Caenorhabditis elegans: one gene and its partner. The protein of the gene in region 1 purifies or fractionates together with the protein of each later gene. This does not show direct contact. Each region holds a gene or a part of one and is shown on either strand. Other genes may lie near its edges.

Region 1 (5,487 bases):
AACTGAAGCTATTGTTTTTTATCAGACCATTATTTCAGGAGAGTACACATCACGTAATATTCATTAACTTGACGATTTTTTTGCTTCTTGCGAAATGCACAGCTAAATTAACTGGATTCTAAAAATTGTGTAACTTTAAATTTTTTTTAAAGCGAGTACTTCAAAGTGTTCATAGCCGCAGTGTGGTCCATAAGCCACAGGGTGGTCTATAAGCCACAGGGTGGTCCATAAGCTGCATAAATGCTTGTGTAAATGCTTTCTTTATTTCAAACACTAAATCATGTTTTACATAAACCTATGTATATGAAAAACTAATTTCTAAGCTTAAAATGGATTACAAAATTATGGACTGCCCTGTGTAACTTCTAGATGACATCTAGGTGGCAACTTGTTTTCAAAAAATTTTTGTTCTGTATTCGGTAATCTCAACAAAAAATACGGAAGAATGACTCATACATTCCATTCGTGCTCCAAAAAGAAGGAAAAAGGAACTCGACAACTTAATTGAAGCAGAATTAATACGTCGGAAAAAAGTCCAAGTTTTTCACGTTCCACGGAGCATTATTGGCACAATTTTGAGTACATGCCGAAAAATTCTGTTCGGAAAAATTCCCAGAAAAGAAGCTAATTTGATATTTGTTTTATTTCAAAATTCAATTTAAAACGTATGCTTTAAAAATAATTTAAAGTTTGAACAAGAGTAATTGAAATACAAGTTAATATTTAATTTTGAACATCCTCGTTCCAAACAACAAAATATAAGGAGAAATCCATTGAACATAGGGTAGAAATCCTTCCATCGTCCCTAACAACATCCACTCTTTTTGTGCAATCCAAATCGTACTGATCGCTTCTGTAACAGTGATGTTATGCAGACCTATTGTAGTGCACATGCCGGAGCCATGTGTGGGACAATCGAAACCTTTGGCAGTTGCCTGAATTGCCAATTGTAGGAAAATACAAAATCTGGGATCGCCGGTTACCGGAAATGAAAGTCAGTCGACAGGTTCAAGTACGTATCTGCCAAAACTGTCGTTATAATGCAAAAGTGTCAGGCTTCACATCTAACAAAAAATTTTAGAAACTACTAAAACTTTTTAGAAATGTTGAGATATTTTTTGGAAAGTTTAAGAAACTTCAGGAAAGTTTTCGAAATATTAATTAGAAGTTTTTGAAATAAGTATGGAAATTCGCAAGTTTTGTTTATTTTTAAACGAGCCGAGAAAACTAATGTTGCAACTGTGAAAAGTTAAACTGTTTAAAATATACAAGTTTCAGAAACTTAAAATATAAAACTTTCATTTGGCTTTAAAAATTTCGGAATTGACAATAAAGTTTGGAGTTTACCAGACGGCTGGTATAATATATATGAATTTAAAAGACACTCACTTATATATTCTCGGCTGGCGAGTCAGGTTCCTCACTTTGTCATTAATACCATTTAATGCTTCTCCCCAAGGTAGTGCACTTTCAAAGGCATGGAGTTGTAGAATTCGGAAGTTTGGCAGATTGCCAGCTAACCAGTGACGAATGAACATATTAATATCTCGTAATGTCAATTTGTTCAACCATAGATGGATTTCTTCGCATTCCATGTTCATCAAATCTTGTATGGTTATTTTCTCGCCGTAGACCACTTTCAGTCGCGGAATATTTCGGAGCTGGAAGAATTTTTTAATATGCATTTTCCTTACAAAATATCTAGAAATTTTTACTTTCCCTGAACATATGAATTTTCCGCCACAATGAGTTTAATGAGAAATGTCAGAGTTCAAACTTGATAGGAACGGAAAATTACGCTGGATATTTGTAATAGTAAATGACTTTTACCAACGAAACTTGTAAAAAATTGTTTCTTTTGTGTTTTAACAGTAGAGTGCATCCTGCATGTGAAAGTTTGAGGCACACACCATTTGTATAAAATGTAAAATTACATAGTTAATAAATATCAAACCTGTTTCTGTGAACCTTTCATAACAATCAGTGTTTGAAAAATTAAATCCATTATTTTTATTTGGTTCACTCTCAAACATTGACTAAACTTACAAGTTGGTAATCGAAATCATCTGCCAGCTCACACCATGCATGAAATACACTTTTTAATGGAAATCGGTGATTTAAAGTGATCATATCTTGGTTGGAAAGTGCATTGTTTTTTCCATGAATCTCTAGATAGTGACATTCACGAAACAATGGATGATCGGCAAAGGATTCATCAGAAATTAGATCATAATCAAAATGAAGGTGAAGCTGTTGAATAGAAAATAGTTTGAAAAAATAATCCATTGTGGCTATGAGCTGATATTTCTTTCTGTACTGAATACATTCTATTCCGAAAGACTGCAGTTCGAAAATTCTGGAAAAAATCATTGAAAGGAACAAAAGAATTAACAAGTTGATTTTCAAAAAAATGACACAACTGAGACACCGTTCACAAATGGTAAAAGTTTTCACTGACTCAAAAAAAATGGTTTAGAATTTTAATTTAATGAACATACGAGAAAAATAACTCCCAAACACTTATTGGGTTGATCATCCAATGAGACGTGTCTCCTGTCTGACGTTCCAAACGTTTCAGATACTGTTTCAAATTGTGTTCACTGTCCAGAGCAATAATTTTTCGAGGTTTATGAACACATCGCATTCTTAGAAAAAAGTTTATCTTTTCAAATAATGATCTTCTACCGTGATAATACAGTTGACAGTTTTGTATCATCAGTCTGTAAAGTTTACGCTCCACTTGCTGCACTTTGAGTAATGATTTCTTAGAGGTAAAAGATAGTGCCAACCTGAAATAATTTTTGAAATGTTTTATTTAATGTGAGTTCACTTGAATGTCTGCTACAATTCACTAGTTTATTCGGATAATTGCGTTGGTTACACTTTTGAACAAATTGAAAAATTGCTATTTGAATAATACTTTTGAAATTCTAACAGGGAACATGAAAAAATGCCCAATTTGATCTTTTATTTTCAGTTTAGTGACGCTGATAGACAATTCAAAAAGCTAACTTACACTTCGAGAAGATTCATTTGAAGCACAACTTCTCGAAACGCGCGATGTGGGAGTTGAAGGATTTCTAATGGATTGCCCTGAACAACAATTATTGTTTGTGAATGCTATTTCATTTTCATGAAATACAGTTTCTAATTTGCTGTCAAATGATTATTTAATGAAAACTAAAAAAATTTGTAAAGGATAAACAAGATAACTCGAGCAACAAAAAGAAGACCTGCGTATTTCATGATTGCAGACGCAAAATTCAGAAAAAGTGCACTCAAAGGACAGCCACAAGCCCCTTGGCAACCGCAAAAACTTACCGGAAAAATTTGCCTCCTTATAAAACAATACGCTTTCCAACAAGCTCTTCGAATAAGATAAAATATTAACTGACCAACACCAACATAAACCATTAATAAAAGCAATTCGGCAAGCATATTAGATCAATATGAACAATGTGCCTCTTGTGCTGTGCTGTGTCTTACACTGTGCGAGCAGTTCTCATGGCTGGTGACCTCAATTTGGTGTAAACGCTATCTGGCCTTCTATTGCTCCTTAGCAGCCGTATAGTAGCCGGCATTTACTGAGAATGCTGTTAGATTGGTCTTGATTCGGCAATCGCGGTGGCAGCTGTCTACCAGTGAGTAACCATACTCAAATACATACTGTTTTTTTAGTAATGACAACAGGGTGGCCCATAAGCTACACTTGACAACTTAATCGAAGCAGAATTAATACTCCAAAAAAAAATCTCTAAAATAGTCTTCCACGTTTCACAGAGCATTAGTGGCACAATATTGAGTAGCAAATTGTTGCTATCAAAAAAGGGAAAACGGGCTAATTTAATAATTATTTTATTCCACAGCTTAATAAAAACAACATATAACAAGTATACTCTAATGCTATAAATATTTATAAGATACTTGGCTTGTCCACGAAGTGCTCAATAACAACGGCCCACAGGCCACCGGTGAGAAGGCCAACCATAAGAGTGCAAACGGAAAGCTGAGCGGCAAATCTTGAGTAGTGAGATGGCACGACGCTAAAAATTTAAAGATTTCCAATTTCATAGTAACAACCGAATTGTAACTCACTTTGGAGTGTATCCCATTGCCAGAGCGCTGAGGTATCCATGTGAAAAAGACATGGCAATTCCACCAATCACAAAAATGTCAGTAGACTCAAAGAAAACAGGATAAGCACGCGTCTGGACACGATAGTTGCAGAAGAAGAAGAATGGAATGAAAAGAGCACGCAAGATTATGGCAAATTTGAGGTAACGGGGTGTCGGCTGCAAATTTGTATGATATTCAAGCAATGTTATTTCTGAATTTCAATTTACCCAGTGAATCTTGGAAGCAACTATGGATCCAATCGCAGCGAACAAATTGAAGACGAGGAAACTTGTGAGCAAAGTGTAGATTTCATCGTTTTCAGACATAATTTTGTTTAGGAAGCCGGAATCTCCACGAGTGGTAACGGTCATCATAACAGGGAAGATTGTGAGAGTAACGGCAAAGCAGAACCAAACATTGAAGAGTTGCCCATAACACTGAAATTAGTCACACATATTTATTTTGAAGCTAATTGATTTTAAAAACTCACGTTTGTGAATGTGGTCCAAAGAATGGATGGAGACGGTCTGTCGGTTTCCGCCTTTTCGCGAATTTCCATTCCTTTTTGATGGTGATAGTGGTAGAAATCTTGCTTTGTGATAAAGAAAAGTGCAATTGCACACACCAGAAGGATCACCAACGATATGCCGAAATAGACGATTGCAACAAGTTTAGGCTCATCATTCAGAACTAAAAAATGTTATAGTTTTTAAAGCAATAAATTGAAAAATTACTTACAATAGGTCACTCCGATTTTCACAACCGTTATCAGCAATCCGCAAATGTTGTTTCCAATCAAGAGAGCGCCAATGTAGGTGTGCGGAAAATCGGCAAAAACTCCATAAACCGAGTTTTCATATAGCCCATTGCTAAAATTGATTGAAGTCGCCATTCCAAGAGTTACCCAGAAAAACCAGGACATGGAATCTTCAGTGGGCTCCAGAACAATGACGAGGATGAGAATGATTGTCAGGTTGACGATGTTGAAGCAAACCGGAGCAAAGACGCGGTAGATCAGGGGACCACTAAAAAATATTGATTGATTTTTGAGAGTTTAGAAGAACTGTAACTTACGCAATAATGAGGAACAGGTTGAAAACATTAATGCTTGCGTTTGGAAGTTGTGAGGCAATCGTCAAAGATCCCATGAATTCTTTCGAATACCATGTCTCCACGCCATCCGGTTTGAACCAATAATTCACATAATACTGAAACAGGAACTCTATTAGTGAAAATTATCTAGTTGCAAACCTCAGGGGCGATAGTAATGAACATATTCCATGGCAGAAGAACTCCGAATCCAACAAGAATGACGAGCCAGTAGACAATATTGTACTTGTCTCTTGGAAATGCTTCCTGCTCAACGGCATA
Region 2 (4,033 bases), on another chromosome or scaffold:
TGGCCCCGCCCACAGAACCGTGGCTTGCAATACGCCCATTTCTGCAACTGCCGCACGGTTTTAAAACTGTATTTTTCTCAATAGAGCGAGAAATAACAAGAAAAAATAATTTTAAAACCGTGCGGCAGTTGCAGAAATGGGCGTATTGCAAGCCACGGTTCTGTGGGCGGGGCCAATCCCCCGAGTTGGTAATCCCCCCAATTGGACATCCCCCGAGTTCTTCGGGTCTCCATTTTCCACATCAAATAATAATTTGTGAAACTTGGGACTTCAAGCGACTACTATTATTGAGATCGTAGCGAGATTCACTCAGAAAAAACCAGCGTGCGCCTTTAAACTGAAGTTATGATACTTCTTTTAAATTTGAAATCAATTGTGATGGCGCGAGCAGAGAGACGAAAATCAAATTGAATTCGACGCAAGCCGAATTTTTGTTTGGGCACTTTAACAGCCTGGGAGTGAAATTGTATGTATCGACCCCTAAGGCGGAAACAGAAAACAACTTACAGGCTGCTCTAGACGCTGTAGTGGATTGGACAAGGGGAGCAAAACTCACCCTAAGCCAATCTAAGACAGTTCACGTCACAGTAGGGAGATGTAGAAAAGATTTTAAATACCACCTTGACGGTTACCCTATAGAGCGAAAAACAATTACCAGAGACCTTGGATTTCTAATATCAGAAAAACTGGATTTCTCGGAGTATTGGAAGAAATCTATCAATCTGGCGAAATTTCAGCTGGCCAACATTTTTAACCAGTACAGTACCTCCAATAAAAAACTAATGATTCTTTTATACAAAACTTTCATTCGTCCTCGTCTAGAATATGGAACAGTAGTGTCTTCTCCGACGAAAAAATCGGATGAGAAAGCAATAGAGTCTGTGCAAAACGCGTTCACTAGGCGCCTTTATAGTAGAATCAAAAAAAGGTATATTAATCCAACTGATAAAGATTACAAAACAGCCATGGAACGTAACGAACTATTCAACCTCCAAACCTTAAGCACGAGACGTAAAATAATTGACAGAATCCAAGTAATCAGAATGAATACTGGTAAAGTAGACTTAAAAACATCTGAGTTTTTTGAGCAACAAGCGACCCACACTCGTTCTAAAAAGAAATATGTCTGGCGCACAGGAAAAACTAAACTTAGGAGACACTTTTTTGTTAACAGAACGCTTTCTACTATGAAACAACACTGATCTGATATTATTCTTAATTTGTCCTCTTCCCTTCCACGTCTTGATCTCTCCTTTGAATATTCCCGATTTGCATTTCCTTTTGATTTTTTTCTCTATTGTGTTCTGTCTGTATTTTTTCTATTATTATTTTTTGCCTGTTGTGCATATTATTTTCACGACTAAAAATCGTAATAAATTAAATTAAATTAAATTAAATAATTTCCCCAGTTGCGACACTTCACCTTTTATTTCTCAACAAAGCATACACTTTGCCAATTCTTTGCAGTTTTCAATCGACTGTGGCATTTTCAGAAATATCATCCTTCAAGGTTGCTAACAGTTTTCAAGTTGCTCTAATAAATCCAAGAATAGTATTGTGAAAACTGCACTTTCTTACTCCCTTTTTCACAGAGTTTCTGATTCAAATAATTCGCAAAAAAAAAAACAAAAGGTTTGTAACAATCGGGGAGGATAACATGATGTTTGCTTGCCCACCACCACTTGCACCGCCACAGACACTTTTCACACATCTACAGTCCGGCTTCTCTTCTTGTTGTTTTCCTTTGTTTCTGGTCAATTGTTTGTACAGCGCCACGACTCCGCCCTATTTGTGAGAAAGAGCTGTCTTGCCCATCTCTGGACAATTAGTCTTCCTGAATCACACCTGTCATCCGGTGTTCACTAATAATATATTTTCTGTTGGTATGATCAAAAATATTGCCATTGTCAGTGTTGTCTTTTGTGCATTTGTCAGCACACAAAGAGCTCCGTCAACGGAAGTTATTGATGTAAGAAGACCTAAAATGTTTTGAAATATTATAAGTATTATCACATAAAGTTATTTCCGAATTCTTGTTTAGGAAGAATTTGATATTATTTCCCAGATCTAAATAATATTTGATTACTGTGTCACCTAAAAAACAAGATTTTCAGAAAATCCTCGGTAGTGCAGAAACAAAGACAATAGAGCAGATCAACAAAGAAATTGACAAGGTAAGTAACTAGAATCGGAAAGTGTTTAATTGACAAAATTGAAACTTAATTGAAACTAATCTAAACTTAACCTAAACTATATATTGTTCTGCTTCAATCGGCAAATCACATGCTATGGAATTTTCACTCACTACATCTAGACTTTTTTGACTACGAAAGTAATAATTTTAAACCTAACGAAAGCATTATGTTCTACGATTGTTCTATGAAAAAATTCCAATTTCACGGCGCTATGCGAACGTTATAAATTATTATTTCATTTTAAGAGATAATTACTGGATTTTCAAATTGTTATCCAATTTGGAACCTACTTACAATTAGTTCTAAGTTCACCGAAATTACTCAAAAAGTCCGTTTTTTTGGAAAATCTGGCAATTTATTAACTGCACATTTTGAAACACCTAACAAATTTTTGGAGTATTATTATGATATTCGGCCACGTTCGACGATGATAAGTTTAATTAACTTACAGCGCCAAACTTCCAAAAAAAAAAATTATAATAGCTGTCACAAATTCCATATACACTAGAATGGGAAATCTTACTTTTCTTCTCTAGCTGCTACACGCAAATTCAAAATTATTTTCTTTAATAGTATTTATCGGCTGCTTGTTTCACTATCATAGTTAAAAGAATAGAAACATTTTCAGTTAGTAGAAAAATTGGATGAAAAAACGAAACAGGAGCACAAGGCTTGGAAGTTGAGAGTGGAAAAAGATGAAAGAGAACGAAAATCTAGAATATTTGTGAGTTTTCAATTTTTATCTTAAAAAACTTATTTGAAAATTTCAGAAAGTTTTACCAAAACTATCGACACGAACACAACAAAAACTCATCCGAATAGTGATGACACAACAGAATCAAACACTTTCTGTTGGTGAAAAAGAACGAATTCTGAGGCATATTTCGACTTCAATGGATAATAATACTAAAAATGAGTTGGCAAGATTTCTCTCCGACAAGGATTTGTTTTCGTTAATTTACTGATTTATTGTATCATTGAATCAACTATTAAAAACGTTTTGTACATTTTTATTGAATTTGCCTATTTATTTTATTATATTTTGCCTGAATTTAAATAAACAAGCTCTAATTAATTGGCTTGTCAAATTGTGTACACGTAATTTTTATCCCGCCACGGTATTCAACAAAAAAGTTTTCTTCAATTTGGAGACTCAATTTATTTCCGAATAGTTCTCGAGAAGAAATAGGATATTTCGCATTTTTCCGAAATGTTACATTACCTGTTGTCGGTATTACTTTTAATATTTGAAAACGTAAGTGCCTAGACTTCTAAATTTAATAAAAGATAAGTATATTCCAGATATTAGAATTATGTATGTGTATTACATTGGTGATACTTATCTATTACTTCTGGCCTAGTAAACAACTCGAAGATGCTACTTTGCAATGTATGAATAGCCTTCGTGTAGCTTAACTTATTATGTTTTGTTCAGATTTCCCTGACACTACTCAAAATAGCTCGGAAGTGTTCATTGATCCGCCGGAGCGAAATCCAATATTCTATCCAATCAGTCCATTAAGACACAAGAAAAGGTAAAATAAGTTTTATAATCTACAGGGTTTGAGCGATTCTAGCTGCAATTGAGAACTCCCAATGGTTTTGACTAGCTGGATTCAAGTTACACGAACCCCTTAATATATGTCAGAACTATTCCTCAAAAAATCCAGCATATTGCAAATGTAATCTTCAAAGTATTGTAAAACTACAGATCAAGCAAGGAGGAGATGACACCAGATAAGAAACGAGACTCTAGTGAAAAGATTTCAAAGCAGCCTCCCAGAGAACTTTTCGAGCCAAACGAGCAAGAACAAGTACCATCACACATCAAACCGGAA

What was found.
Region 2: the proteins of C46C11.4 (region 1) and M110.9 fractionate together in Caenorhabditis elegans (co-fractionation; one large-scale study listed by BioGRID). This does not show direct contact.

The regions. Positions count from the first base shown.
Region 1 is NC_003284.9:4,643,681-4,649,167, forward strand, and holds C46C11.4 (F-box domain-containing protein), read right to left. Parts: upstream 3,525-5,487; 5' UTR 3,439-3,524; coding exon 3,322-3,438; intron 3,094-3,321; coding exon 3,017-3,093; intron 2,790-3,016; coding exon 2,499-2,789; intron 2,357-2,498; coding exon 2,047-2,356; intron 1,662-2,046; coding exon 1,390-1,661; intron 854-1,389; coding exon 724-853; 3' UTR 628-723; downstream 1-627. Other genes in the region: ent-5 (Equilibrative nucleoside transporter 1), read right to left, coding at 3,914-4,043, 4,096-4,292, 4,344-4,553, 4,607-4,806, 4,855-5,141, 5,191-5,324, 5,368-5,487.
Region 2 is NC_003280.10:8,229,433-8,233,465, forward strand, and holds M110.9 (DUF148 domain-containing protein), read left to right. Parts: upstream 1-1,843; 5' UTR 1,844-1,885; coding exon 1,886-1,969; intron 1,970-2,114; coding exon 2,115-2,174; intron 2,175-2,823; coding exon 2,824-2,919; intron 2,920-2,965; coding exon 2,966-3,160; 3' UTR 3,161-3,268; downstream 3,269-4,033. Other genes in the region: nte-2 (Putative patatin-like phospholipase domain-containing protein M110.7), read left to right, coding at 3,406-3,450, 3,498-3,585, 3,631-3,730, 3,907-4,033.